Linked DNA regions of Rhinolophus ferrumequinum. The protein of the gene in region 3 purifies or fractionates together with the protein of the main gene of each other region. This does not show direct contact. Links are inferred from orthologs where the notes say so. Each region holds a gene or a part of one and is shown on either strand. Other genes may lie near its edges.

Region 1 (10,386 bases), on a different chromosome or scaffold from region 3:
CAGGGGTGGGGTGGGCAGCAAAGGGCTCCCCCAGTTCTCAGTCCCAGTCCCCACGGCCCAAACCCTCAGGCAGGGGAATGAAGCAAGAGGGTCAATCTGGAGCCTACTGGAAACTTCCCAGAGTGTCAGTCCTCCCAACAGCCCCCAGGCTCACCTGAAAGGGGGTCCCCTGGGCTAGCAAAGAGGGAGAACAGACACAGCCCCTGCAATAGCACCTCCTTCTGGGAGCAGGAAGGGAGTCAAGGGCCAATGCTTTATCTAGAATTAGACATGAAGAATGTTCTTGGAGCCACCGCCACTGATAGTAGGGAGACTAAGAAGGGAGGTTACTTGTCCAAGGTCAAGTTGTGTTACTGGCCAGGCAGAGCCTAGAACCAAGTCTGTGGTTAAGCACCATCACACTGTTGTTTGCTCCTCAAATTGTACCTGCCCAAGTGTAAGAAACTCAAACCAACACCCAAGCTGATGTCTCATCCAAGGAGCAGGGACCCCACCCATCCTTGGCAAAAGTGGGTCCTGTCTGTGGTCTTCAACTTTTTCACTCCACCCCTTCCCACTCACATGTCTGAGTTCCCCTGGCACCTTGACTCCCAGGTGGCCTCTGCTACTCAGCACCCACCCTCCAAAGCCTTGCTCCAGGTTACAGCAACAAGCTCCTGTGTGTGAGACCCTGTTACAGACACACGTCGGGCCTCCTTCCACAGAGGCAGAAAGGAGAAAGGGTGGCTGGCAGAAGGGAGGAAACCACTGTCAGGAAGAGATGCAAGAGGCACAGAAAGCTCATCACTGATCAGGAACTGCCAAAATCTCCTGAATCCAGCCTGGAGTAACTATGCGGGGAGAGTGCAGGCGGATCAAAGCTGCCTCTCCCACCAGCCCCCAACCGTGACCCACCACAGACACCTTCCTTGGCACTGCAGCCACCACCCCACACACACTCCTAGGCCCGCCCTCCACTTCCACGTTGCGAGTCAGACCTGTGATCTGACCCTCTATGGACCCCCACGCCGGGTGCTGATTCTCTCTAGTGGGGCCACACTGGAGAAATTCCGAGCCCTCCCACACCAGCAGCCTATAACTCTCTGTCATACCCCTGTAGAATCCCCAGTGTCATCTAAGATGCTACACCCTGAAGATGCTACAGGCTAAAATGTGTTTCCTGCAAGCTTCTGGCCTGCCAGGAACCTCCACCTGTCCTCACCTCTTCTTCAGAACCCAGGGCATCCTCAGGTAAGCAGGGCTGGGGGTGGGGTGCAGGAAGTCCCAGGAAGAGAACAAAGAAGGGGAGTAGTTCTCAGATGTAATAAAATACCTGGCTTCCTCACCTACTCACAGATGCCCCCAGAACCCTCAACTATACAAAAGCTGGACACAGAATTGAGAATGATGATGATGGAAGGCCCTGGCATTTGACACTCAAGGGATGCTGGGCGCAATCAGGGCAAGAGGGTGGTCTCCACTTTGAGAGGGGTTACCCTGCAAAAGCTTTGCTCCAAATATACAAAGAAACAAGAGGAACGATTTACAAACACTTTGACTCTAGCCATGGATTGTTTCCACCCAATTTCACAACTTACATCTACTTGGATATAGTAAAGTATCACATAGATACAGGCATATGCACACAAATGCTACAGGCCTGGGCACAGACTGGGGGTTAATGGGGGGGACACACAAGTCTTCGGCTTCTCCTAAGCCTGCCCTTCCCATTCACTGTTTATGAAGTTGGAGCCTACGTTCCGTCCCTGAAACTGCACAGAGAAAACTCAACCATGTAGCTTTTTAAGTTTGCCAGAGCCTTGATGAAGTTGCCATTTGACGTATGTGCCCACATCCCCACTCCCTGGCAGGACCAGGGTGAGGCTCCCAGCCTCCAGGGCACCCGCAGTGTTCCACCAGCCCTAGTTAAGTGTCTGGGATAAAAAGAAGGCCACGGAATGGGGCTGGAGGTAGACCCCCAAGCCCCCCGCCCCCCGCGCCCCGCCAGGCGCGGCGCGCTCACCTGGCCCGCAGAGCCGGCTGAAGTGGTAGGGGTTGCAGCACACGGTAGGGCCGTCGGCGGCGGCGGCGAAGCTGTGGCAGCCGCACAGGGGCTTCAGCTCCACAGCGTGCTGCAGGTCTGGCCAGCGGAACAGGCGGCCGAGCAGCAGCTGCGGCGGGGCGGGCTGGCCGCCCAGGCGGAGGTCGGCGCGCGGCACCAGCACGCAGCCGCCCGGCACGCCACCGCGGGACTCCACCGCCTCCAACAGCGTGTCCAGCGAGCGCTCCTTGAGCCGCTTCAGCAGCGAGTACGTGACCGTCTTGAGTTCCTGCTCCAGCAGAAGCAGCCGCGAGCGGGCTTCGCGACTCCGCCCGCTGCCCGCCGGCTCTAGGGCCGCCTCCGCCAGGGGGTCGCCGGCGTCCTGGGGTGCGCCTGCGGCGTCCCGCTCCGAGAAGAGACAGCAAGTCACAGTCTCGCAGTCACTTTCCGGCAGCCAGCCCGGGCCTCCCGGCTCCGCCACGTCCAGCGGGGAGCCCCCAGCGCCGGCCCCTGGCTCCGACATGGGCCTCGGGGGGCCCCCTGCACGCCGGCGCCTCCCCGCGCCCTGGGCGCCTCGCTGTCCCACTGTGTCCCGGGGCCGCCGCGGGGCTACCGGGCGGACTTCGGAGCGGCCGCAGCCTCCGCCTTCTCGTGCCCGCGGGGCCGGCTCAGCTCGGCTGCCCAAGCTCCCATCCTCGTCGCCGCCGCCGCCGCTGCCGCTGCCTTCCTCCCGGTCAGGGACCACACGACTTCGCCAAAGTCGCCGCACCAGCCCCGAGCGTTTGGACCTGAACATACGATATCCTTTGGCGCCGGGGGTGGGGGGGGGAGGCGGTCTCCGGTTACCGGGGGTCAGTTCCTTCAGCGAGGCGCCGGCTGCGCGGGCCGCAGCCCCACATGAAGCTCCGCCGCCGGGCGCCGTGCAGACCGCGCACAGCCTATCGTCGAAGGGGCGCCGCAGGGCTGCAACATGAGGGAGCTCGCCGGGGCGGGCCGGCGGGGAACACTCGCACGCCGAGCCACAGTCCGCGCCCGGCCAGCGGCTACATGGACCCCGGCGGCCGGGCTACTCAGCAACTCCAGCCCCAGCGCTTGAGGGGTACCGCGGGCGACGCGCCGCCAGCAAGTCCCCGCATGGGCCGGCGACCCTTCAAAAGTTGCGCGGCTGGCCCATGAGCACAAAGCGCTCGCGCCGAACCCCCCAAATGTGTCTGGAAAGCCCTGCCTGTAAAACCCAAGCGCTTAACTACATGGACTTTTCCTGCAGGATCCGAAAGACAAGCTTGTTGATATCCCCAGCTTCCTTACTCCCTGGAAAATAAAAAAGAAAAAAGAAAAAAAGAAACCCCAAACAAAACCAAAATCCCTGCAATTGCATGCACGAAAGGCCAACTCCGTCTCAGGTCTCAGGCGCTAGATGCACTTGGAGCGAGTTTCTCCCGAACGCGGGTGACAACACATGAGTGGAAACTGTAAAAATCCCAAAGAGCCGCTGGGAATCCTTAATTAAAAATGCAATCCACCAAGGTAGAGGTCACAGCCCTCCCCACGCTGCGCTCGGACGCCCAGGGCGCCGCGGCTGCAGAGGTCGCCCCCCTCCCCCTTCACAAAAAGTGCCTCCCGGTGGCCCCGCGGTCCCGGCGAGGTCTGGCGAGGCAGCGCCCGGCGGCTCTTTCTCTCTGCTCGGCTCCCTCGCTCGCTCCCCCGCTCGGCTCTCTCTCTCTCTTTTTTGTTCTCCTCAAACGCACACTGAGGGCCCCCGGAGGAGCGCCGCGGAGTCATTGGCTGCCTCCCATCATATGCCAGTCTAGACACTTTGGCGGCTCCGCGGCGCTGATTGTTGCGCAAACAAGGTTTCAAGTTTCTTAACTCTTAAAGGAGAACACGTCCCATTGCAAGGCCCGCGGCTCCGAGGGGCCGGCTCCCGGGGCGGGCCGAGCCCTGGCTCCCGCCCTGCGCTCGCCTCGGCACCCCCTCCCGGGACCTGACAGCGCCCACAACCCGCTCTCCGGCTCGCGTTGCGCCGCGGGCACAGATGCGAGCGAGCACACGCGCGCGCGCACACACACAACACACGGTTACACGAACCAGGGGCGCGCGGTGCAAGGGTCCACCGGACCCACTGAGACTCGGACGCAAACCGAGTCTTGCCTCTCTCTGGCCGGGGCACAAACTTAGAAACACACATTGCATTTTAGATCGGTCCAAACCCCCATCGCAAGGAAGGCTAATAAAAATGGGTGCGCGTGTGAGCCTTCCTAGCTTGCGTCTCTTGGGAGCAGGGGGCAGCTGGTTTGTTGGGGTAGCGGGATCTTCCGTGATGGCACGAGGTCTCCACATCCCCTGCGCAAAGTCAGGGGTGGCTCTGCTGGGCCAAACCCAGGGCGTGGGACGCTTCGCGCACGGGGACTCCAGGCTTGCCCCAGGTAGGGAGTTACAGAGGGTGGGGTAGAGGCGGGGAGTGTCTCCTCTCCGGCTGCTTAGTCGCCACAGCCCTCCCTCGGAGCCAGGCGGGCCGCCAGCCGTCCCGGGCCCCCTCAGGCTGTTGCTTCCTCTTCCCCCTTCCCCAATTTATTCTCTGAACCACGGAAAGGAATGTGGGTAGGGGGTCGTGCTTTCCCCAGCCACGTTTCGCAACGGAAATAGGGGTAGGCTTGGGGACGGGGTCCCTCCGGGTGTGGGACGAGCTGGGGGGCGCGGCGGTAGCAGCAGGCCGTCCGGCGCGGGAAGGGTTAAGGCCGGTCCAGGCCCTGGAGCCGGCGCGGCGGGGTACCTCCTCGGGCGCGCTCGCTCATCCGAGGGTGGCAAAAGTTCAAGCTTGTAAAGTCCGGATTGGTCCCGCGCGGAGGGAAAAAAGGCCCGGTCCCCCCTTCCCCCCCGGGCGCGGCGCCGATTGGCGGGGCCACGGGGCGGGCACCGCCCTCTCCCCTGCGCGCGGCGGTCCCGCCCCCGGCACGGCGCCCCGCCCCTTTCCGGGCAGGAGCCGGAGTTCGGCCCCTTGCTGAATGAAAGAAATTCCGCTACTCCGATTGGCCCGGGGCTGGGCGCCATTCCCCCACCGGGGCCGCAGGGGCTCGGGCGAGCGGGTCTTCCTCGGGGTGCCCACGTGTGGGCATGGCCTTCCGAGTGTGCGGCGGTGCGAGTCCCCGGCCCTGAGTCTGTGTGCGCTGGGGGAAGGGCAGTATTTGCAGGAAGGATTCGGAACCATTTGAGCTTTACCTGGAGCCAGGTAGTGCTGGTGCTGCGCTCTCTGGGGGAGGCAGTTGCTCTCCCGAATGGAAGATTGAGCTGAGAGGCTTCCCCACCCTCATCCCCTACTACTTTGGCTAAATCAAAATAGTTGTCTTTGGCTCAGTTTTGTGTTTGAAAATGGGAATGATGATGCCTGCCCTGCGTTGTTCACAGACCCATATAGATCCTGGGAGAGAGTGCATTTTAAGAGGGCAAATCCCAAGTGATCGGCAGGATGGATTTTCACAAGTGAACACACACCTGTGTAACCAGTACCCAGAAGACGACGTGACCTGCACCCCAGAAGCCTCCTCTCTTGTGGCCTCTTTTAGTCACTTCTCGCCCCCAGGGAAATTAATGCATCTTAAAATACAAGGAGAAATTCAATGTACTGTATTTTCTTTTATCAGGGTATTTGCTGGTTTGGCTGTGGATTACAATAATAGTTCATGGTACTGAGTCCTTACTATGGGCAAGGCAATGTTCCAAGCATTACAAAGATTTAGTCATTTAGTTCTCACAACAACCCAGATAGGTATTACCTCCATTTTACAGATGAGGAAACTGAGGCACAGGATCTTGCCTTTCAATTTGCCATTGAAATGACGGTATTGAAAGTGCTGAAATGTTAAAACCCAAGGGGCATAAACCAGTATGGGCTCTCACCCCCAGCGGCCAGAAAGTGGAGTGTGGGTCTGCGTAGCTAAAGCACAGCCTTCAGAGCAGCTATTTTCAAACTGGGGCCCATTGGGCTTGCTGTATCAAAGAATATTGAGGGGAGGCCCGGGACTCCATAGAACAGCACTTTGGGGGTAGGAGGTATGGTTGTTACCACAAATTTACAGATAAGGACACTGAGGCACAGAGACATTAAGTAACTTCCACAAACTTGTTTAGTGGCAGAGGTGGAATTTGAACCCAGCCAGTAATGGCTGGGGTAAGGGGTATGTATGTTAAATACACATGCATGCCCCTTACCTGTCCCATTCCCTTTGCTTTCCTAATGGGCCAGCAGGCAGGAGACAGATTACCCCACAGGGCTTCTACTAATGCTCAGCACCTACTCCTGGGGGCAACTGTGTGAACCGTGGCTCTTTCCCTTCCATCCCCCCCAAACCTCTCTGAGGTACAATGGCATCCTTTTCTGCAGCGTTCCTGGGGAGCGCTGTGAGAGATGCCTGGCCTCTGTTGGGGCCTCAGGCCTAGGAGAGACTGAAGCATCCTAGGAGGACTGCCTTCTTTCCTGAGCAGTAATTTGGACCAAGTTTGGCTTCAGCTCTTGCTCATTGAGAGATGTGGTATTGGGGGTGGGGTGCCATTAGGGGCTATTTGGATGAACCTGAAGAGCAGTAAATCCAGAGTCTGCTAGGCCTGAGTTCCACACTGACCCTACTTAACCTTTCTCAGCTCTGTAAGCCTCGGGGTTCTCATCTGTGAAATGGGAGTAGGAATCATGCTTGAGGTGGTTGCCAAAATTGGGACATGAGGACCCAGAGTCATCCCTCCTTATGGGAAGACTTCTTCTGAGGGGAGATAGTATCAAGAAGGGAAGGGTGGTGACAGTCATTCCCACTGTCCTTGGATTCCCAGGGCCCATGCAGCCTAGTACCAACCTGCACTGTGACCACAAGAGGGTGTGTGCGGTGGGGCCCAGCAGGGCAGGGCCGTGGAGCTACAGCCCCTGGAAAACAAGCTCCAGTTTCTTGGGGGTGTAGAAGCAAAGAAGTAAGTCTAACCTCTCAGATTCAAATCTAACCCCTCCCCATTATTCCAATTTCCCCCAAAGCACCCTGCATTTCCCCTTGACAGCACTCCTCACAGTTTGTAACTGTACAATTCCTTGTGGTTCTCCTCTGCCTCTGGAATGTAAGCCCAACGTGGGTAGAGATAGTGAAACTATCAGGCACAGGCCACACAGCAGCGTGGAGGGAGTGGAGTCAGAAGCAGGCCATTTGATGCCATTCTGTCCATGCCTTCAAAGAAGCTAATTTGCACAGGACAGCGCCTGCCCCATTTCTCCTCCCCAGTCTCCCTAGCACAATGCACGTCACACAGTGGGTGCTCAATAAATATTTGTCATGTGGTTGAACTGTAATCCCTCACTTCACCAAGCTCCATGCTCACCATCATCTGGTACCAAACACTTATATGCACTATCTCATCAAATCCCCCGAACAACATAAGAAGTTATTCTTATCCGGCCTAGTTCTTTTACAGAAGGAAAGCAACCAAGACATTCAATAATTTGTCTCTGGTCACACAGCCAATAGGTGGCAGAGTTGGGACTTGAACCCAGGGCTGCTTGAGGTAAGTGTCCATCCTCTTAACACCTGGTCCTAGAAAAGAAAACATGGTCCTTTGCCCTTGGGAAGTTTCCACATTAGCTAGGAAGACACAAGGCATGAAACAAATCACATAAGGCAGAGCTTGCTTCTTGGTGGTGGAAGGGGTAGGCTCCAGGGGCCACTGCTTCTGAACAGAAGGTCACAGAGGGAGTTTGGGCCACCTCTCCTAAAGTCAGATGGAGACTAATTCATCCTAACCCACTTCACAGGAAACTGATGGATAAACCAAGGTCCTATTTACTAATTTTTAAGGAGAATAACTTAAAACTTAGCCCAACTGGCTAAGTGGTATTGTCTGCCCTTTAGGAAGGTAAATCTACTTGGCCAACATGTCCCCAAATGGAGGAGTTGGGATACCCTTGGGTGGTAGACAACCCCTCTGAGGCTTTGATGAATGCTATGAACACCTCTCTTGAAAAATGCACATGTGCATGAATGGAAATTTGTGTTCATTCATTCGACACATGCTTACTGAGCTCCTAATGGGTTGCCAGGCCGTGTTCTAGGTGCTAGGGATCCTACAGTAAGTAAAACACAAACATTCCTGAGCTCAAGGAGTCTCGTGGGAGGACAGACAGACCATAAACAATCAGCTATACGGTGTTTTGGAAGGTAAAGGTGCCAAGATCAAAAACAAAGCAGAGAAGAGGAGAGAGGAATGCCAAGAGAGGGTATAGGTGGTTCAAAGAAAGTAGCCGAAGAAGGCTCCCCAGAGAACATGATATCTGAGCAAGGACTTGATGGTGGTGGGGGAACTGCTATGACACCATCTGGGAGAAGAATGTTCCAGACACAGAGAACAGCAAGAGCAAGGATCTTGAGGCGGGACCGTGCCTGGCGTGTTCCAGTACCATTGAAGAGGAAAGGAGATGGGAGAAATACTGGAGGCAGCCTGTAGGCTGACACCGGCCATTGTTGGGTCTTTGGCTTGTCCTCTGAGTGAGCCAGGAGATCGGAGGTTCCGAGTGGAGCATGATCTGCCTTGCTTTAGCTGGCTCCCTCTAGCGGTCCTGTGGAGAATAAACTGTAGGGGGCAGGGTGGCAAGGGGCCTGGTGCTGTGATCCAAGGAGAGGTCATACTGGTTTGGGGAGAATTGGCCAGTTCCTGGACATATTTGAAGCTAGAACCAGCATGATTTGCTGTTACATATCTAAGAGAGTGAGAGAACGTCTGAACAGTGTACACATGTTATCAACGCTTATTCATTTTTAAAATCAATTCACTTGTATTTAGCCCTATCATAAGCTGTAATATCCATGAAGTCACGAATGTCCTAGTTATATTTATCACTTTAAAACAAATACATAAAATATGTTTATCTGTGAATGACCTGAAATTATCCTGGGAACTACCAGGATACATGCAATGTTGAGAACACTGGTTTAACCAATTCCTAACCTCACCCACTTTTAGGCATTTTTGTTTGTTTATTTATTGGCTTTTTACTACTTTCCCTCAGAGAGAATGATTTTCCTGGTCCTGTCTATAATTATGGGGCCCATTACCACAGCCTCTCTAAATCCACTGCTGGTTTTACTATTGCTGCTCCATGCAGCCTGTGCTTGGACAGTACAAAGTAATAGTTCTTAACCATTACTTTAGAACCATTACTTTGTTGAACCCAACAGACCTGGATTCAAATCCTGCACAGCCATCTTTTACCTCTGTGGTCTTGGACAACTCTCTTCACCTCCTGCAATAACCCCCAATACTGTGCTATTATTATTCCCAGTTTATAGATTACAGATGGGGAGCCCGAGACTTAACTGGTAATAATAATACTGGGAGGTTGTTTTGAAGATTAAAATGCTTAGCACAGTGCCTGGCATCTAATAAGTTCTCGGTAAATGGTAGCTATTAGTGAAATGAACATGGAGCCAATCATTATCAGGTTGAGCCACTGAACCAACCCTGCCAACTACTCACTCCCTAGGAGATTCAGTTTCCTCATCTATAAAATGGACCTACTTGACTGAGTTAAATAGGTAAAGTCCTGACACACTGTAGGACTCAGCAGCTCATCGTGGGAAGTGACCTGGAGAAGGAAGGTGGGCTGTGTAAGGGAACCAAGAGAAACTTCCCCTCCAATGGCTACTGGTCACAAGTCTGGGCTGCATTTAACCCTCCACTATCTAAACAGCCTTTCACGAGTGCAGAGCAGAATGGGACAGGGACGGGGAGCCTGAGGAGATACTAGGACCAGGAAAGGAGCCGGACTTGCCCAAGATCACAGGGCCAATTAGAGGCATTAGGGAATGGAGCCGAGGTTTGCTGACTCCCAGGGCTCCTTGCCCCTTATCCCAGTGCTTAAGGCTTCTTGCCCGCCCCCAGTTGGGCAATGTGTGTAGCGCAGGAGGTAAAAGGGCAGGGCAAGCTGTGCGGTCAGACTGCCTGGGTCCTAATCCTGGCTCTGCTCCTTACAGAGTGACCTTCGTTACTTTACCTATCCTTTCTGAGTTTCGGTTTCCTCATATGTAAAATGGGTTTAATAATAATAGTACCTACCTTATAGGATCATCGTGAGTATTGATTGAGATAACATAGGCAAAGCTTTCAGAGCTGCTGTTGCCATTTTGCTCCTTGTGGATGTCACAGGAGAGGCCACACCCTACACGTTCTCAGCTTCCAGAAATATCAAATGTTTGAATGAAGAGAGGTGTGAATGAGTGAAGTGCAGACAGTCTCACAGTTGTTGAGAGGGCTGGAGGCAGTAGCACAAAGGTCAGGCTGAGGACTGTGGATTTGCTACAGTGAAACTGGATTACCTGCACCAATCTGTCTCAAACTGA
Region 2 (10,619 bases), on a different chromosome or scaffold from region 3:
CATGGCTGCTAGATACAAAGAAAAGAAGTCATATTAGTTTTGGAGTTAGAATACACCAATTACGTGTGCCCCTACCCTACTGGTAGGAATGTAAATTGGTACAACTCTTCCGGAGGATAAACAAGTAATATTTAACAAATGCCAGATAAACAGAATACTTGGTGAAAATAAGTATATATTAATGTACTATGACTCCGAAATCCCATCCTTAGGTAAAAGGCCTAGAGTAACTGTCACACAGACTCTTAAGGGGACATGCAGAAGGATGTGCATTACAGAGGATGTTCATCATGCCATCATTTGTGTTATGAGAAGTTGGAGGCAATTCAGTAAGAAAATAAATAAAAATGCTGTGAATGCATACAAAGAAATACCATGCAGCAGTCAGGAGCAAATCTACCTGTACCTAAAAGTGACATGAATATATCTTTAAAACAGTGTTGTATGTTTTAAAAGGAAGAAAACATGATCACAATACCATATGTGGAAATTAAGACTACATAATATAGACACAGTATAATTCTTTGCCATCTAGAAATCTCCTCTGGACCTATAAGGATTCATACACAAGAGGCTTCAATGCAGCACTGTAAACAAAGGAAAACTAGAAATAACTTGAATATGCACAACAGAACTCGTTATGGAAAAGTCTTATAATGAATTATATGCAGACAATGAAAATTTGTTCAAATGTCTAATGTCAGGGGAAATGTTTCCAACCCAAGTGAAAAGAACAGGTTACAAAACAGAACGTATACCATGAGCTAAATTTTATTTGTGTGTTTACTACACGTGCACAGAATTATTAGAAATACATACATAAAAATGTTATTAGCGTCTTAACTCTAGGCAGTAAAAATACAATAGATCATTTTATTCTTGTTTATGCTTTCCACTTTTTCTATATTTTATTCAATGGGCGTGTACTATTACCATTAAGTTACCAATAACTTTTAAATTTACAATTTCTACAGTTTAAAAAAATTCTATGACTCAAATGTACATCTATATGTATATATATACTCTGATATGTCTTATGGTATTTGATAAATGTTCACTGTCTATTTGAATCTACAAGTCAAAATAAGGACCTATGATGGAAACAATATTACAAAAAAAAAAACCTGAATCATAATTTTAATGATGGAAGATACCTTAAAAATAAGGGACCTTAACTGTCTAGTTTTACAGATGAGAAAACCGATACCGAGAAGCTTTAAATAGCTTATAGAACATTTTTTCCTAAATTTAAATCTCACTTTCCCCAGAAATTTTTGCCAACCTATATTGTGACAGTTTGCCAGATGGCTCACCAGCACTTGACTTGCTCCAGCACTGGCAACAAGGCTCAATATTTTATCCTGTCATGCCTTCCTTCCACGCAACCTTCCTCTAAGTCTGTCTTTTCATCCCAAAATAAAGCTGAGTAAAACTCAGGAGAGGCCAAGATCCATTTTCAAAGACAGTGCATTTTATGAAGTTTTCTGAAGGTTCTCCCCTTAATATATCTCACCTTTTTTGTTTTATAAATTAAACTAAGACTTTTAAGCAATGTGCAAACATTTGTTACTAATAAAACGACTTAACATTAAACAAATTTATAAAGTGGTACTCAGCGAAAAACACAAAGAATAATCCTTTCAGAGCAGAGATTCAAAATCAAGGCTCTACTTCAGAGTCAAACATTTTGATTTATGATGTGCCAAAATGATCAGTAATCACAAATTCAAGACATTTAATTCAGCTCTACCTTACTATAAAATGCTATTTTTTATGGAAAGTTTCTGCTAATACCAAAACAAACGCAAGTGTTTTTAGGATATCAGAATTAAAAAAAAAAAAAAAAACCACAAACCCCTCTGTTTGGTTTATAAAGCTTGGGTGTGGTTCCTTATTTGTCAGCCCTTACCCCTCCACCCACAATGAAAACCACATGCACTCGAAGGTTAGTGAAGAAATTTTAAAACCAGATTTAAAAACAACTCTGAAGCAAGTGAGCACTTTGTACTCCTCCCTTGTCTGAAAATTTCTGGAGACCCTTTATATATTTTAACAACTTAAATCACTTCCACTTAAAAATACAACAACTAGAGAGAGTTTAAGCCTGAGACAAACAGTACCTTCTGTAGAATAGGCGGTTAATAAACGTAAGTTGAGCAAGTTAATGATTTTTCAGTTGCCAATAAAGCTAAAAGAACAAAATTACATTTACATTGATGGCTATATAAAACTGGGGGGGAGGAAGTTTGACCCATTTGAGTCACTGGCATGACTTACTCAACTTTTAAAAAGATCAACAACAGGCAATTCAGTGCACTCAAAGATGCTCATACAGTAGGCCAACCAATTGTCTAGCACAATGGTTTTCAGCCCTCACACACAGTCTCTAATGTAAGGCAAAGGTTGCGCTGGCCTTCCCTTTTAACCTTTCTTCAAAACTTCCTCCTCCACCTCTTCCTTCACTCATAAAACAGTTAGCCTAATTCTAATAACCTTTCATCAAAAGATACAATTACTCCTGCCATATAGCAATTTCCTTACTGGGCCAACCAAGCACTTTTTTATAAGACAGGGCTTTCCCTCATGTTTTTGATCATTCAAGCCTTCGTGCCCTGACCTACAGGCCATCGGAAGCCCTGGTCCTGTTGGTTTCATCCTCCATCTCTGCAGAACTAGGGAATACTAGGTAGGTGAGAAATTTTTAAAAGTTTAAAAAATTTAACGAAAGAATGTGATCCTAATAAGTCACGGGTGGGTACAGCAATCATAAAAGGAGATCAAATGAAAACCATTGTTTTATTTAATCTACATAGTTGTGCCTGGTTGGCTGATTTTACAATGGTACTGTGTTATCTCTATAAATACCCCCTCTCTCACCAATTCTTTATTTCTTTCTTTGTGACTGACAATCTAATTATCTTTCATTTGGACAATGCAACAGTGGGGCTAAGACTTTTCCTTCAGAGTCACCTATCTAATTTCTTCTATTAAACTGTAAGCCACTGGAAAGCAAGCACCTTGTCTTAGACTCCTTGTTATATCCTTCCCCATCTCATGCACAAGGCTAGGCGATTAGCGAGCACCTTATAAAAGGTTTACAAGGAAAACACTCATTGTGTATGACCATTACTAGGAGTTCAGAATATGTATGTGTGATGGGGACACGCTTGGGACATGGAATGGTTTTCTATACGGGGCTGCAGGGCAGCGTTCTCCTCCTCTGAGGAAGGTAATGGCTAATGTTTGGGGTGGGAGCCTGTTACTGCGGTGGTTTGATGTTCAGGGCAACCACATCTACTGCCTGGCTAATTCTAACTCAGAACCAAGGTGAGCTGAAAGGGACGGGAAGCACCGGGTCTCCGCCACGCCAACCTCCCTCTGCACACTTCACAAAGAAGTTTCTCTTTGTGTCTTTTAGTCAATTCAAAGTGCAACTGGGAGATCTGATATCTCCACCAGCCTTCTGCACACTTTCTGACCCAGACTTTCCTCTAAGTCCTTAGTGACTTTCTTTTTCCACTCTCTTCTTCACAAAAAGGGGGGGTTGGGGGTCTTCACTATATTTTCCTGTGATTTTAAGTTATCTGAAGCCCAGCACCCTAAGACTACCCATGGGGAAGGTAGCAGACTCAAAGTTACCACACCCCAAGGTGGGCTTTCGACATCTCTGCCTCACACAACAGCTCTCAGGTTCTTAGACCCCAGAAAAAAAGAAAAGGAGGTGAAAATTGGAAAGGAGCGGGATCCAGAAGGGGACTGACTGGAGGCAGAGGGCAGACAAAGCTGGCAACACGCAAAGGAGAGAGCCTGGCTCCCCACCCCAACTGCACACGAAGAAAGAGAAAGGACGGGGTGGGGGGCCTGGGGCTGACAGACTATGGAGAGCACCGACGAGGAGACCGGGAGGAGGGGGGCTGTCAGAAAGCTGAAGAGAGCGGCTGAGGGACCGAGAGGCAGGGCTAGAAAGAGGGCGCAGTCGGGAAGGAGAGAGTCCCCAAAGAGTCGGGGGCAGCGGAGATGAAGGGAAAAGCCCGGGATGGACTGAAGGCAGCAGGACACTCACCAGACCCCCGAGGGAGGCAGGGCAGGGGGCGGCGGACAGCCGCAGACGCCGGCCGGGCCAGCGGTCTCAACGTGCGGACAGGCGAAGCCCCAGCGGCAGCAGCCGACCGGCCAGACGAGAGGAGGGGACGGGTGAGGGGTTCTGAGGTAGGGACGAGGGGCGGTTGCGGGTGAGGACAACAGGAAGAGTCCCAACTGCCGGAAAAGACGGCAGCGCGGAGGGGCCAAGGCAGCCGTGTTCCCCGCGGCGGAGAGGGACTGGCGCGGCGGCCCGGGGCCGAGACTGCGCAAGCGTGACTTCCCGGAGACGCGGCGGGGACTTCGGGACTGCGCGTGCGCGGCTGCGCCCCACCTCCCTCCACTCCTCCGGGTTTTACCAGAGCTGAGAGGTGAGGGCAGAAATGTGGGGTGTGGGGCGGTCCCGGAGTGGGCTGGGCTGCAGGAGTTCCCTTTGTGTTTTGTGCTTTTTGCTTTTTGTTTTGAAATAATTACATACTCACAAAAAGTTGCCAAATTAGTACGAAGAGGTCCCGTATACCCATCACCGACCCAACTTCCCTCAACATCTTACATAACTATACTACATTATCGACACCAGGAAACTGACATTGGCACAGGGCAATTAACTAGACCGATGCAATTAACTAGATTACAGCCCTTACTCGGATTTATCCAGTTCAGCATACACTCATTTGTGCCTGTATATGAGCGCGTGCCCGCTCTCAACTGTAGTTCTGTGAAATTTTACAATTTTTGTAGTCGTCGTCCTCCGCCCCTCCCTTGATTTTCAAACTTTGGAGCGCTAGGTCGGCTGGAGCCCTTGGCCCCATCTACTCTTCCTTTAAGTAATGATTAACATGCCTTACATTGGGATCTGGCGAGGTCTCCTAGGTTTGGACATGGGCCACTGGGTGAGCGTTCTAGTGTGCACAGATGAACCTGCTTTTCACCGCTTCCCAACCCCTCAGTCTGTACCATCCCTTGGGATAAAGAGGTCCCAAGTTTACTAGCCTTTGGGCAGTCACTCATTCCTCGAGAAAGGAGCACAGTGCCCTTGACCAGAAAGCGTCGGGCTCCTGGAAACAAAGATAGACCCTGCCTGCCTTCAAAGTGGCCAGCTAGAGAGCGGAAGAAGCAGGTGTGCAAGTCGTTCATTAGGCTGTTTTGTGATATTAAGGTGCCTCTCTCTCTTGTGTAACTGTTTGTAAGACCATAGGTCTTGGTTTTATCCTTCAAGCTTGGGGGTCCCAGGCTTTGTTTCCTTAATGGTCTTGAAAACATAGGCCTTCCTTGACTGCTTTCATCTTTCTACACTTCAAAGCCCAGTTTACTTTGTCTGAGCCTCATACAAAAACTACTTCACCGTTCATTCTGTCTGTCCAGAGGCCCTTCTCCCCCAATGCCTTTTGTTGAAGTCCTAGCCAACCTTAAGGACGTCATAACAGTGCGAGATGTTTGCATAGTGCTTTGCACCTTACAAACCGCCTTCACTCATTTTTATCTCAGTTGATCCTCTCAGCTCTAGCAGGTTACGTACTAGGATGAGGTGGGGTTTTTTAGGTTATTTTTTTCCCCATTTAATTTTTATAATTTATTTTAAAATTATACTTGACATGTTAGTTTCAGGTGTACAACATTGTGGTTGGACATTTATATACCTTCAAAGTGATACTACAGTAAGTCTAGTAACTATCCCCCTAGTTTTTACAATATTATTGACTATATTCCCTATGCTGTACATTACAGTCCCATGACTTATTTTATAACTGGCAGGTTGAACTTCTTAACCCCTTTCACCTTTTTGCCCAATCCCCACCCCCTTCCACTCTAGCAACCATCAGTTTGTGCTCTGTATCTACGGGTTTGTTCATTTGTTTTGTTTTTTAGATTCCACATGTAAGTGAAATCATACAGTATTTGTTTTTCTCTGTTCAATTTAGGATGAGGTTTTACAGATGAAGGAACCAAAGTGATGTGCCTGAATTCTCACAGGTAGTAATTTAAGTAGCAAAGCAGAGAACCCCATTTTCTGACTGCAAATGCAATTTTCTTTCTGCTTTCCCTTTTCCTTCCTCTAAAGCCCAAGTCAAACCTTATCTTCTCCTTGGAGCCTTCCCAGTTTCAGGAAAGAGATTTCGTTCTCTGCTTTCTATATTCCTATATTCATTTATCTGTACCCCCATTCTAATTAATAACTACTAAAGTCTTTCTCAAAATAGCCCAGGCAGAACATGCTGCTCTCTGCATGGACCCAAACAATGTCATTTTACCATGATTCCAATAAGTATAGTGGACATTTGTCATTCTTTTTGACCACCTGAATCCCTTTCATGTGTTTCCTACTTCTCACTACAAAACTGAAAATTCCAGGTATGTTCTCGCCTTGACTCCCTCGCACCTGGAGAGTGGGCATAAAACCTAAGTGCCACCAATCACTTTCACCCACCCCAGACTGTGAGTTGAAGCCTAAGACCTGACCATACACTTGTAGGACTTGAACTCATTTGGCTTCACTCTAGTACTGGTGTTGTCAGATCCTGCCTTTATTTTAAGTGTTGATATTTTGTTCATCATCGTGTTTTTTTTATTTTTATTTTTTTAAATATTGCATTAAAATATCACCTTTATTACTGAGTTATTTGCCGCCTTCATAAATCTTGTACCAGGGCAAGTTTCCAGCTCTCCTCAACCTACCTACTTCAGGCCCTGGAAACCCACTCTGAATCCTTTCTGGAGAGAGTGGTGGATATTCCATATAGTAGTCGCTAAAGACCTCCACAGAGGTCTCAATGACCAGAATTGCATCACATGGCCACCCTTCCTGGGAAAGCAAGTACTCAGCTTTTATGCTCTGTAATGAAGGCAGACAAGAAAGAAAGGGGTTGAGAATGAATATTGGGTTGTCCAGCCAATAACGTTTGACATCGTAGTATACATTACTTTGCTGTTCTCTTTTCATCTAACTTGCTAATCTAAATGGAGAATTGACATGTAGCAGGACCGTTATTAATTGACTTCTGGTTAATGGGAACACTGAACAGAGTCAATTCCCTTATATTTCTGTATTGCCAACCTATATGGTCACACTTGGCCAGATAAGTTTGTTAACCCTTTTATGAGTGGAGGAAGTCAAGGAGGTGAGTGTCTTGCTCACCTCACCCTATATTTTCTCTGCCATCATATAATTGTAATATAATTCACCTAATCCAAGCTTCTCAGTGTTATAGCAGATTTCTCTAAAATCTCTTGGGGAAAAAAAACAAAACTTTTTTATAGTATACTAAGTTATTCTTCCCCCATGGGACTTGAGTTCCTTGATTTCAATATTAGCACCTTTTTGTCTTGCTCTTTTCCCCAGTTTCAGACCCACTAGCCTTTCCCTTCTCTTTAAACATTGCCCCAAAGTGTTCTTTGTCCCAAGGGAATCGCTTGCTTCTCCTCCATCATGCTGACCTTTGACTGCTTCGCCAGCTGAAGCTCAGTCTATCAGCAAAGACCACAACCCTCTAAAGGACAGGCAGTATGTGTCCCACCTACTGGGGCAATGACATCAGTTGTCTCTGAATATTCCTTCCATAAGAGGCTGGGAACTGAGTTTGGTGTCTGCTACCCCAGTGCTTCTCAGACTTTAACGTGCACACAATTTCCCTGGAATTCAGTTAAAAATACAGATTCTGATCCAAAAGGTCTGGATAGAGCTGAGATTATACATATCAAACAAGCTCCCAGGTGATGCTAATTCTGCTTGCTGGTCCACGTACCACACTTGGAGTAGCAAGGGACTGGAACATATTTCTAAGTGTAAAATAAGAAGGAGAAAGTGCCCTCGATCCAGCAGCCCTGGGTCCCTACCAGCACGAGACTCTGGTAAGGCAAGTGAGGCACCTAGGGCACAAAATTGAAGGAGGCACTGGAGCTCAAGTGCAGCCCCTGCTCTTGACAGTGAGTGCCTCACACTGTGCATCCCAGGCACCTCACTTTCCCCTCCTAGTGCCTACCTTGGTCTTAATACCAAGTAACATTTTGGTCGGTTATGCCTCCAGACTATGTTCTGATATACCCATAAACGCATATGAGATCCTATTGTATATGATCATGTTATAAGTGATTATACCTACCATATTACATGCACAGTATTGTACTCTTATTATTTATCCCTTTATATCTAAGTTATGCTTTTTTTAAATCCTCGAACTCTGACACTTTAATCTCAATAAGTTCATTTAATTCCTGTTCCTCTAAAATGTGCATAAATTGCTTTCTCTTAGTGGAAGAATTATGAATGGTTCTTATTTTCTTCTTTATACTTTTCTGTACTTTCCACATTTTCCACATTGAACCCACATAACTTTGAATTTTGTGATTTGTTATCAAAGTAATACACGTATGGATTTGAGAAAGACCAAACCATCTACAAGACTTAACAATGATAAACAGCACTGCTTTGCCCCACCCATCCCACCGGATTCACTCAGCTGAAGCAGCTGCTTTCAATGCTTTTAGTTCTTTCTTCTGCCATTTACCTTCTTGTTTCTAAATGACATTGCTACTTCTTAAATGTTCGGTTTTAGATATTTTTTAATTTCCTCAATGAAGATGAGGATTTAACTCACACCACAACTTCCACATAACTTCTATGACCACCTTTCTCCTTAAATCAGTATTCAGTGTTTACAACTAAGCCAAGTGGGGCAGAAAAATTACTGTCTTCTTGTACCATTTGTTTTGTTTTTCCTGTAGTTCACAATTCCTTTGGTTTTTCTTCCCTTGCATAGTTTTGTTTGAAAATATCTATCACTGATTTCTCTGCAAGCTTTATGCCAAAACTGGAAAACTTTTCTCAGATTATGGTCAAACTCACAGTCTCCATGTTTTTTTCCAGGGTCATCTTTTCTGGAGCCCTCTGTATTTGTTAGGGTTCTCCAAAGAAACAGAACCGATAGGAGATACAGATATGGACAGAGGGTGAGAGAGAGAAAAAAACTGATTTATTTTAAGGAACTGGCTCACACGATTGTGGAGGCTGGCAAGTCCAAAATTTGTAAAGCAGGCTGGCAGCCTGGAAACTCAGGCAATTTCTGTGTTGCCGTCTTGAGGCAGAATTCCTTCTTCCTTGGGAAACCTCAGCCTTTGCTCTTAAGGCCTTCAACTGATTAGATGAGGCCCACCCACATTATAAAAGTCAAGTGATTGTAAGTCAATTTAAAGTCAAGTGATTGTAAATGTTAATCACATCTAAAATATACCTTTACCACAACATCTAGACTAGTGTTTAACCAAACTGGGCACCATAGCCTAGCCCAGTTGACATATAAAATTAACCATCACACTCTTCATCCTTCTAAGAAATTTCTCTTCTCCATGGTTTTTTTTCTTTAGTGTCCCCTTCCCACTTAATTTCATAGCCCTCCCTTTAAATATCAATCATAGCTTTCAGTAAATATTTTCCAGGTGAATAAAGACAACCTGTCAGGGAATTGTGCTGGGGTAGACAAAGTGAACGGGAGTCAGTGGGTACCTTCTCCACCCCCATACAGCTGCCTTCTCAACTCCATTTCTTTCCCACACTCCTAGGAGAGCAGGATGGAGAGTGCAGAACTCAGAGAGTACATGCTCTAGGGTGACTGCCAATAACCATGCCTGGCCGGGAGAAGGAGAATTTATTTGCAGCACCAGTCTTTCAGGGAAGCATTAGAATAATTAGCCAGGTCTGCAACAGCTATCTGATCATTTTTATCCTAATGCTTAGGCTACAAACCTGAAAACCTCAAAGTAAAGAAAGTACTGAATGGAAAGACAGCTTTTCATATTGTTCCTTGGTTTCAGACTTACAGATATGACAACACATTGTACAATGAGGGTTCTTATCATATGGTTTTGCCTGCTTAGAGATTTTTATTTTCTTTGAATGCTTAATGATAGGGCCAAAGTAATAGAGACGTCTTAAGAAATACAGATTTTAAATTAATTTTTTCCAAATGACTCTGTGTTTGTGTGTAGGGGGGGCAGTGTGTCATGATGAGTCAGTGTTTCTTTGGGAATTGAAGGGAGAAAATCTCAGAAACTAATGAAGGATGTGAAGTATGGCAGATCTAGCACCCAAATCATGCATCAGCTTTTCCCACCTACCTGTTTGGGAGTGAAAATATTAAGAGGGAGGAAACTATACAAACCTTATGGAGCAAGGAGAAAAAGAGAACTGTATTTTCTGTAAAGCAGAATGACAAAAAGAATGACAAAAAATTCCCCAAAGCAAAGCTAAATCTGAAAGCCAGAAGTGAAAAGGATGAGACGTCCACTGACGTCTCTGTGCTTGGATGGGAACCTTCCTGTAAGACAAGGGAGTTTCTGAGGCCCCCACTGCCGAAAGGCTGGCTTTCCTTCTGCTGGTGGGATGGAGAGCTGTATGAATCACAAGACTCTCAGGCTCCCTTAGGAATGTGCTAAATCTTCCCATATTTGCAGAGGCCCCAGGACTGTCCTAACTGCCAGCTGAGAGCTGATCTCATATGTTCCCTGAAAATGGAAGCATGCGAATCTTATTTGTTCCTAATAGA
Region 3 (9,948 bases):
ATAAACTTGAGGCCAACCCTGAGGAAAACACACAAACTCATGCGTAGCACATGAAACTCCATCTTATCTGAGTTAGTTGGTAAAAGTTTCTCCTGCCTTACATAGGGAGGTTCTTTACTAGGAGAAACTGACAAAGGCAACACTCTTAATAGATTTATCTTTTTTAAGAGAAACATAACTATTTTGAATCAATTAGGTCACCTGTTACTGATCAATGAAACTTATTAACAGTTATTACTACGACTATTTCTCTCCAAGTTGCATCATCTGAATGTCAGAACACAAGTCAGCCTCACATCATATGTGCTACAACTTTAAAAACAGCCTCCATTCCCAAATGCTACCACGGAAGGTCTCTTCCCACCCCACCCCCCACTTGGAATTAGAATTCTTCTCTCTTCACAATACATAGTCATGCTCCAAAACATATAAAAACACAAGGAGGTCTGAGAGTATTTCAAGGCATAAAAGCACAAAAAAGTTTAGTCATTTGGTGTTTCAACTAACTGGTTAACATTAGAATAAAATTTAATTTGAAGAGCACTGTGGAACACTTAGAGCTCAAAATTCCATTCTTTTACCCAAAGTGGCCTAAATAACATATCTGGGATTCATTTGTGTACCTCATAAGAACAAAGTTTTTGCAAATCCTGCTTGAATTTAAAATGAAAATGTTTCCCAAGTGTTTGATTTGCCAGTGAACTCTAAAATGTCTGCAAGATAATGCTCTTTAATAAAGATCACTCGACTTTAAACATATTATGCCCCCAAACCTACCGAAAACTTTACGAACTATTATCCTGCTAAAAAACCACAGACGTTCATTAAAATTATATTCTTTTACATATAAAGACTCAAATATTCTTTTGTTTAGGCCAGGTTTCCAAAGCAGTTCAGCATATTTTTTTTAAAAAAAAAACAACGGGGTTCCACAGGAAGGAAAAAAAAAAGAAATCATAAATGTAATCAATACACAAAAGTAATGCTTGGCATCAAACATGACTCCTGTGTTTTAACACAAATTTCTGAATATCAGGATCGAGCCCTAATAGAAAGTACAAGCACCCAACAGTAATTTGGAATAAGCCAAATTGATAGATCCTGTGAGGAGAATTAAAGAATGCTATAAAAGGAGCTGAAATCTCATTTTACATGAGGAAACTGAGACTCAGAAAGGTTATATAAGTTGTTCCATATTATGCAGTTTATGGCAGATCGGACCAAAATTGATTCTCAATCCAACGTTCTACTTACCACCAAATACAACTCTAGACCCGAAAGTTCTAAATGCTCTAACTCTAATATCCTCATATTTTGCATTGAATTACGCTGTGTGCTATTCACTAGCTAGAATAGCTCTCATTTCTACACGTCATTTGTTCAAGTATCACACGTGGAAATAGACTCTGAAACCTGTAACAACAAAAGTATACGACTTTTGAAAGATGTCCATCCAACTTGCCAGAAGTGAAGAAGATATTTCAAACTCCCCCTGGCAACATAAAGATGAAGCCAAAACCTAGCCTGTCTTCAACAAAATATCGAGCTCCAACGTTTCCACGTAAATTAACAGACAACTGGCATCACGCGTGTCGGCAGTCATCCCTAAACTCTCAGTTCTATTGCAGGGATGACCATACTCACAGATCCTCTCTTATCACCAATAACATTAGGTGGGAGAAAGGGAAAGGTGTTTCGGAAAGAACACTCATCACCTGATCCTTCACTACCAAGTGACATTAAAACTCTTTAAAGAATTTCTACATCTATGACATATAAATTCCTGAATCCAAAAATAATCTGAGAGAACAAACCAAGTCTTCCCTTTCATGAGGAAAAGCCCTATCCAGACCTGACTATTAGGATTAATACATATACACCTGACACAAACATTGTAATTAAAATCTATTCCTTCTAATACATTAATCACATTTCCACCAAAACTCACAAAATCAGTTACTTTTGCTTTTAACAAGAAAATTGAAACAAATCCGATGTCAATTATAGGTTACTTTGTAAATGAAAGCCAAATTAAAGTTGTCAGTAATTAAAGTTTTACAAGCATTGCAAAGTTAAAAATGTGGCTTTTATGTAACCATAAAAATAACAATGTATATGCATCTATAAAATGAGAAGTGTTTCCTACCAGAATAAAGGGTTATGTTTCTCTAAAAGTAAAGATCCATGGGATAGGCCTGTTACTTTCCAAAACCAGGATCTGGTTTTGGGTCTGAATCATCTGATCCGCTTATATTATCTGATCTTAACCTGATCTGACATCTTTATATATACCTAAAACAAATTATAACCCTCCTCTTGAAACAAAAGATGGATCATGCAACAACTATGGACTTTCAAAGGAAATTTTAGTTAGAAAAGAATCACCCATTGCTGTTTTCACGGATTTTACTGATGATTTAGGGCTATGCATCTGCCATGAGGTGTCCAAAACGCTCACTGTCTCTTTGAGAGGGGATCTGATTTTGGAGTCCTCACCAGACTGCCACTGAACAGAAAAATCCTGGGGAAAACCCCTTACAGGGATTAGCCTGAACTTTTTATTTCCTTTTCAGAGCTGGAAATATTCGCGTTTGGAAAGTCCCCCAGTAGAACAGTATTTGCAACACGACAATCTGGCCTCAGCTATGAATTGAAACTGGGAGACGAGCAGCCGCCCCATAATGCTGAAGAGAGAGAGAGAGAAAGGGCAGATGAGGGTGCAGACGGGTCCAGGGCCTCTGGAGCCCGCTGGCGAGGGGCACCTCCACCAGACACCGCTGGCACCTACACACATCCAAACCACCACGTCGCAGGCCCACAGCAGAGCTTCGCGCTCACCCTTGAAGGTGGCACTACAGAGCCACCTAGAAGGCACCCACATTTCATTGAGACTAAATGAGAGTGAATCAAGGAGCCTGCGCTAGAGCAGCTACCTACCATAGCCTCCAGTGTGTGGGGGGTGTGGGGAATCAACGCCCAATCCAGGCTTAAGGATGGGGGGCGGGGGGCGATGGTAAAGTGCAATGCAGAAAAGGAAAGCATGCAAGAAGCACAGTCAAGAGTAGATAGTGGCCTGGCCAGGGTGAGAAAGGAAGTGGACTAGACTGAAACGGTCTGAACCAGAGGGGAAGCGAGCAGAGACCCGGGAGAAGCTACAAGATAGGATTGAGGAATTCGAGGCTGAAGGAAAGGGTGGAGGCCCCGAGACAGAAGCAAGGGGGCGGGGCTGGGAGATAGGCGAGGGCGGGGCTAGGGAGAAAATGAGGGGCGGAGTTCAGGAGGAAAGTGAGGGGGCGAAACTAGGGGAGAAGAAAGGGGCGGGGCCAGGAGGGGAGAAGCAAGGGGGCAACAGGGTAGAGGGGAAACCAAGAGAGAGGATGGGAAAGGAGTGACAAGTGGGAGCGGGCAGGAGGGAGAAGCGAGGGGGATGGTCTGGGGAGAGACCGGGAAGCCAGAGAGGATGGGAAGGTGGTGAGAAGAGAGGGGCGGGGCCAGGAGGGAAAAGCGAGGGGGCAGGTGAGGGGAGAGGAAAGAAAGCGAGGGGAGGAGTCAGGAGGGGAGAAGCAAGGGGACACGGGGGAGGAAAAGGTGGAGAACGAGGAGGATGGAGGGGAGCAGCGAGGGGGCAGGTGGGAGGGAGGAGGGAAGCGAGAGGACGGATGGGGGGGGCTATGAAAACCGAGGGGGCGGGGCCGGGGAGAAGCGAGGGGGCGGGGCCGGAGGGAGAATCGAGGGGCACTCGCCCAGGGGGGTGATGAGGTCCTGGGACAACGGCCGGCGTGGGGGAGGGCCACTTAAGCAGGGCGCTCCGCGGGAAATTCCGGGCCGTGCGGGGTGCCAGTGGGCGCTGCGGGGGGCAGTGTGGGCCTCCCACCCGCCGTACCTGTCAGACGGATCTTGATGCTGGAGCCGTTCCTGCGCGTCCCAGGGTTCGACATCTCCCGCCAACGATCGTGCAGCCGCGGATCCAGCGCCGCCGCCCCCCGGCCCGGCCCGGCCCAGCCCCGCCGCCGCCGCCTCCTCAAGGTTACGGCTCCGGGCTGGGCGCCGGGGTCCGAGCCGGGACACAAACTCCGCAGCCCAGGCGTCCGGGCGGCGGGCGGATGGTCGAGCCGGAGGATCGGCGCTCCACCCGGCGCCCCGACCCTCGCTTGCTCCCAGACCAGTCTAGTCCGGAGCCGCCGCCTCCACCACCTCAGAGCCGGACGCTCGCCGCCCTCGCCGCTTCCGCCGCCGCCGCCGCCTCCCGGAGCCGCGCGCGCTCCCGCCGTCGTGCCGGCCCGGCCCCGCGCGCGCGCCCGAGCCGTGCGCCCCCGCGCCTGCGTGCGTGCGCGTCCCCGCGGGAGAGGCGGGGCGCGCCGCGCGGCTGCATTGCCCGCCCAGCCTCGGGCGCGCGGGGTCTGGAACCTGTGGTCTCTGCTTCCTGCACCCCCCAGGCCGGAGGCCACTTCGCTGGGATCCCGAGGAGGCGGTCGGGGCCCGGAGTCGGAGCGCGCCCCGGAACCCTGCAGCCGAGGCCGGTGCAATGGGCTGCGGGGTTGCGGAGACGAGGCCGCTGGCAGTCAGCGCCAGGGTTGCCCCGAGGCGGGCGGGCGGGACGGCGCGGCCCGCATACGGTCGCCTTCGGTTTTCGACACAGTCTGGGAGGAAACCTACTTGCAGATGCGGACGCTGAGGTTCAGAGAACCGAATTGATTTTCCAGGTTTCTGACTCAAGGCTCCGCGCTCCTGATCGTTATTGAAGTGATGGTTACATGAACCCGTGGCCTGTTACTACACCAAGCACCTTCTACAAATAGGCAATATTTTCTCTCCCTCTGTTTTGTTTTATTTTATTTTAGTTCATTTTATTTTATTTTATTTTGGGCTTTTAGATAATGCAATTTCAAGGGAGTGACTTCTCAAAGAGACAAAGTCCTCTAAATGTGTTTGGTACAAGTGCTCTGTATTGACCTGTAACAAAGTTGCCAGAATCACAGGAAATGCCACATTTGGACAAAGTGTGCAAGATTCGAAAGAAGGATAAAGTGGAGAGGGAGATGTTTGTTATTATCCAGTCTGCATAGAATTTAACCAAACAAAACAGCAGCTGTACAGCCTGTGTTTCCCTGCCTTCTGCTCACATTTCCATTCCCAGAGTTGCCGGGTAGAACTAGAAAGTTCGTGATGCTTTCTCCAACAAACCAAGTCCTCTCTTAACCTGTTATAGAGGGGAAATAATTTGCTCTTCGGAAAAGCTGGGTTAGTTTACCAAACTCATTTTTTTTTTTTTAATTGGGGAAGGCGAACAGGACTTTATTGGGGAACAGTGTGTACTTCCAGGACTTTTTTCCAAGTCAAGTTGTCCTTTCAGTCTTAGTTGTGGAGGGTGCCATTCAGCTTCAAGTTGTTGTCCTTTCAGTCTTAGTTGTGGAGGGCACAGCTCAACTCCAGGTCCAGTTGCTGTTGCTAGTTGCAGGGGGCGCAGCCCACCATCCCTTGCGAGAGTTGAGGAATCAAACTAGCAACCTTGTGGTTAAGAGGACGCACTCCAACCAACTGAACCATCCGGGAATTCAGCGGCTGCTCAGCTCAAGGTGCCGTGTTCAACCTTAGTTGCAGGGGGCAGAGCCCACCATCCCTTGCTGGACGCGAGGAATTGAACTGGCAACCTTGTGGTTGAGAGCCCACTGGCCCATGTGGGACTCGAACCGGCAGCCTTCGGAGTTAGGAGCATGGAGCTCTAACCACCTGAGCCACTGGGCTGTTCCCCAAAACTCGTTTTTTGACCAACTACCTAACTCTTTGAATGCATTTATTTGGTTTGTGTCCTAAGGAAACCATGATCTGAGCCATGGCTGCCATCCCCTGCAGCCTTGGGCCTTTTCTGAAGTCACAGTCCAAAGTAGAGCCCTCTCCCTAGAGCCCCTTGACACGTCTGCCTCTGCCTGAGCTCTGAAAGCAGTCTCCTGGGTTGGACTCCAGGGTTCTTTGAGCTTCATCAAATAGAAGGACGGGCCTATGTCATTTCTCTGCCCCACTGCAGCTCAAACTGTCAATGATTCCAGTGGAATATCCAAGAATACAAGCTATGTTTAAGTAACAGGGCAGTAGATACAGAATCCAGCTCTGTTTCTCTGAGAGTGAGTCTCGGGGTCAGAAAAAATCCATTTAGTCTCTAACGATCCAAGTAATCCCCATTCCTCTTTCATCCAGTCAGTATTTCTCCGTCTTCATTTTCCCCATACTCAATTAGTCTCTTTTTTCTAAACCAGACTAAACATCTCTATGGCCATTCTTCTGATCCCCAGCTGTTTTCCTGACCAAAAAACCTTTCATTTATTAACCTGTTTTCTTACCTGCCTAGACGTCTGGACCTTCCTTTGCTTGATTGTTTCCTCAACACCCAAGTCTGGAGGTCACTTGTGGAAGTTACTAAAAGTTATTTAGTTTACTCATTAATAAGAAATTGTCACTTAACTAGATACACCTAACAGTGTCTTTCAACACAGCCTACACAAGCAGCACCTTCCTAAATGGAAGCTAATGTTTTATTCATTAGCAAACACGGGCCACCCATTATGTGGCTAGGGGCAAGGAACACAAATAAGTCACAGCTATAGCATTTCAGAGGCTCAGCTGACTGGGTGAAACACGAAAACAACTGACAACCACACAATGATGGAAATGCGAACAGAGAGCTAGAATGTAGATTACAGGACAAGTCTGCTTGGGATCAGAGAAATGGGGGAGATCTTAGAAGAATCATGGAAGTCCTGATGTAGGGCTTAAAGGCAGTGTTTCAGTTTCTTGGGCAAAGAAGTGGGGAAGGGCATTGTAGACAGATGGAAGAGCTTGTGCAAAGGCAAGAAAATGAATGGATTTCAGTGTAAGCACGGTCACGCAGCTGCTTTATCTTCCATCTTTACACCCCACTCCATTAAAAATTGGTAGATGATGAAAGATATTTGCCCACTTAACAATCATCAGGCACGATTTTGTGCTAAGGCTGTGGGCCAGCCCGTATATTGAACTTAAGGTGTACCTCGATATCCTCTCATCCTGCATCACGTTTATCGAAAACACTATCTTCTAAAGATAGCTGGAACAAATAGTTGGGAAATGTCAAACAATTCTGAGACAGAGATGAAGTTCAGTGAGTGTCTTCAAGTATCCTTTTTGTAATGACCTTACAAAAGAGCAGTTTTGACCCTGCTTTCTATGTAGAATTTGGCAGCTGATTTTATTTCCCCCAGATGTATCACTTCCCTGAGTCAGTGCTATTGGGCATTTGAAACATTTTCCAGTGAAAAAAAAAATCTCTCTTTGGATCTGACTGCAGTCATTCTTAACCTGTTTTTTGAGTCCCAAACCTCTCGGGAGAATCTGATGGAAACAATGGACCTTTTCCCCAGAAAAACTCGTATGTGCAAATGCACACCAAATTTTGTATCTGATTTCAGTGCGTACATGATTTCCTGAAACTTGTGGCTCTCATAAGGTCTCATAGCCCCTAGGTTAAGAAGTTCTAATCTAAAGGAAATGATCAAGCAAATTACACTGGGAATGTCCTGAGTGTATTTGTTTAGGAGCCAGCACAGTTGTAGCCCCTTTTGAAAGCAACGGGTATGCTGAAAGGAGGGCAGCTGTCACCCACACAGACCCATACTACCCTGGCTCCATCATATTGCCAGAGCAAGTTAATTAAATTCTCCAAGCCTTACTTTGTTCATCCGTAAAATGGAGATAATGCCTCTCAACTCAAGTTAAAATAAATCATGGATTTAATTTAAATCTTTCGTTTAACTGAAACCATGGATTTAAATTAAACCATGAATGTAGATATAGCAGTCTATTACATCAGGCACTCAGTAAATGGTAGCTGTTAGTACATGTAAAATGTGTGTCTTTGCTCAGAAACCTGCTGGTGCTGTGACCCTGGGGAAATCTGTTTGGGGTGTTGTGCAGAAGGTCCCTGGCGGGGGGGGGGGGGGGGGGGGATGGCTGACAAATGCCTCTTGAGAGCACATTGTTGTTCCTGAGCTGGTGCCTCTGGGACCAGTGGCTAGATCACGTTAGCCTTTAAGGTCTTTTCTAGATCTAGGTCTCGTCTTCTTTTGCTTTTCACCTGAACATCAAGTTTTTCAAACCATTGGATGTACAAAATTGTGATTAATTAGCACATTTATTTATTCTTTTATGCCCAGAAGACTTCAGGATCTTCCTCTAAATTACAACCTAAACTTAATATTACCACTATGCAAGTCTTACTATACTATGACCATTGGTATGGTTTATTACTTGAGTTTTTTAATTGAAATTTTTATTGAGATAATTGTAGATTCAGGTGCAAGTTGTAAAAAATAATACAGAGGGAGCCTCGGACACTTCGCCCGGTTCCCCCCATAGTAAAAATCTGCAAAGTCGTTGTATAGTATCACAACTAGGATACAGACATTGATACAATCCAACAAAATTCAGATTTTCCCAGTTTTACTTGTACTGGTATGTGTGTTAAGTTCTATAGTCTTAACACCTGTGTAGGTTGAAGTATCCACCACCACACTCAAAATACTGAACAGTTCCAACACGATGATCCATCATGTTTATAAACACACCTTTTGCCCCACTCCCAACACCTGGCAACCACTAATCTGTCCTCCATTTCTAAAATGTTGTCAGTTAAAAAATGTTACATGGGTGGAATCATACAAAATGTAATCTTTTGGGATAGGTTTTCTCACTCAGAGTAATTCCCTGGAGATTCATCCAAGTTGTTACATGTATCAAGTTCATCAAGTTGTTATATATATATCAAATAGTTCATCATCCAAGTTGTTACATGTATCAAGTTCATCATCCAAGTTGTTACTTGCATCAAGTTCAACATCCAAGTTGTTACATGTATCGAGAGTTTGTTCCTTTTTATTACTGAGTAGTATTCCATAGTATGGATGTATCACAGTTTGCTTAACCATTCACCCTTTGAAAGACACGTGGGCTAACTCATTTTTGGCCATTACAAACAAACTACTATGAACACTCGTGTACAGGTTTTATGTGAACATAAGTTTCCCATTTCTCTGGGATAAATGCCCAAGAGTGCAACTGCTGAGTCATATTGGAAATTACATGTTTAGTTTTATAAGAAACTGCCAAACTGTTTTCCGGAGCGGCCAACACATTTTACTTTCCTACCAGCAATGTTTCTCAGCATCCTTGCCAGCATTTGGTATTGTCATTATTCTCCTTTGCCATCCTGGTAGGTGTATAGTTATTGTTTTATGGCTGTGGAATTATTTGAGGTATAGATTATTTCTTCAAATATATGCAGCCAGATAAATAGGGACAATTCTAGAAAAACAGTCTTTCTTGATGGTCTTCTTTTAAAAAACAACAACAAAAAAGTGTTTCTTTAAAGATCCTAGTTGAATCCCACAGTCTGTGTTCAAAAACAGCAAGGTCATCAGTGTAAATGAGCTGCTATTATTTTATTAAACTGCCATTATTTATTATTGCACTGCTATTATTTATTAAAAATGTAATTTTTAGAGAGTTGTTCCCACTTAGATGAGCGGTGTTTTAAACAATTGAATTGATTATCCTAATAAAAATAACTAAGACACTACTAGGAATATAATTAGCTCAACTTAAAAAAGTCAGACATGACAATTTATTGTAAATAAACAAAAGAAATGTCCAGGCTTCTGGTCTACTACAAGATTTTACAATTTTTATTGGTTCAAAAAAATAAGATAAAAATTCTCCCAATTCATTATATCTCATCTATATAGAAACAACAGTAACCAGAGAAATTAACAAAATGAAATCCCAAGTAAGACCCTGAGACATTGTTTATTGGCTAAATAGTTTTGCTCATTTTTGGACAGCATTAGAGGAAGCTCTACTATATTGTATGCCAATGGTTCTTGAAAGTGTGGTCACAGGAACAGCAGTGGTCACCTGGTT

Evidence for each region.
Region 1: the proteins of SMURF1 (region 3) and SMAD6 purify together in Homo sapiens (affinity purification with western blotting; 4 studies listed by BioGRID). This does not show direct contact. The link is inferred for Rhinolophus ferrumequinum from reciprocal best matches to the Homo sapiens genes SMURF1 and SMAD6.
Region 2: the proteins of SMURF1 (region 3) and STK38 purify together in Homo sapiens (affinity purification with western blotting; 3 studies listed by BioGRID, with this or other methods). This does not show direct contact. The link is inferred for Rhinolophus ferrumequinum from reciprocal best matches to the Homo sapiens genes SMURF1 and STK38.

What each region holds. Positions count from the first base shown.
Region 1 is NC_046289.1:44,341,199-44,351,584, forward strand, and holds the start of SMAD6 (mothers against decapentaplegic homolog 6), read right to left. Parts: upstream 3,967-10,386; 5' UTR 2,817-3,966; coding exon 2,003-2,816; intron 1-2,002. UniProt on the Homo sapiens protein: Transforming growth factor-beta superfamily receptors signaling occurs through the Smad family of intracellular mediators. SMAD6 is an inhibitory Smad (i-Smad) that negatively regulates signaling downstream of type I transforming growth factor-beta.
Region 2 is NC_046286.1:6,427,553-6,438,171, forward strand, and holds the start of STK38 (serine/threonine-protein kinase 38), read right to left. Parts: upstream 4,348-10,619; 5' UTR 4,064-4,347; intron 9-4,063; exon of another isoform or gene 6-8; 5' UTR 4-5; coding exon 1-3. UniProt on the Homo sapiens protein: Serine/threonine-protein kinase that acts as a negative regulator of MAP3K1/2 signaling. Converts MAP3K2 from its phosphorylated form to its non-phosphorylated form and inhibits autophosphorylation of MAP3K2.
Region 3 is NC_046307.1:6,351,941-6,361,888, forward strand, and holds the start of SMURF1 (E3 ubiquitin-protein ligase SMURF1), read right to left. Parts: upstream 4,006-9,948; 5' UTR 3,939-4,005; coding exon 3,884-3,938; intron 1-3,883. UniProt on the Homo sapiens protein: E3 ubiquitin-protein ligase that acts as a negative regulator of BMP signaling pathway. Mediates ubiquitination and degradation of SMAD1 and SMAD5, 2 receptor-regulated SMADs specific for the BMP pathway.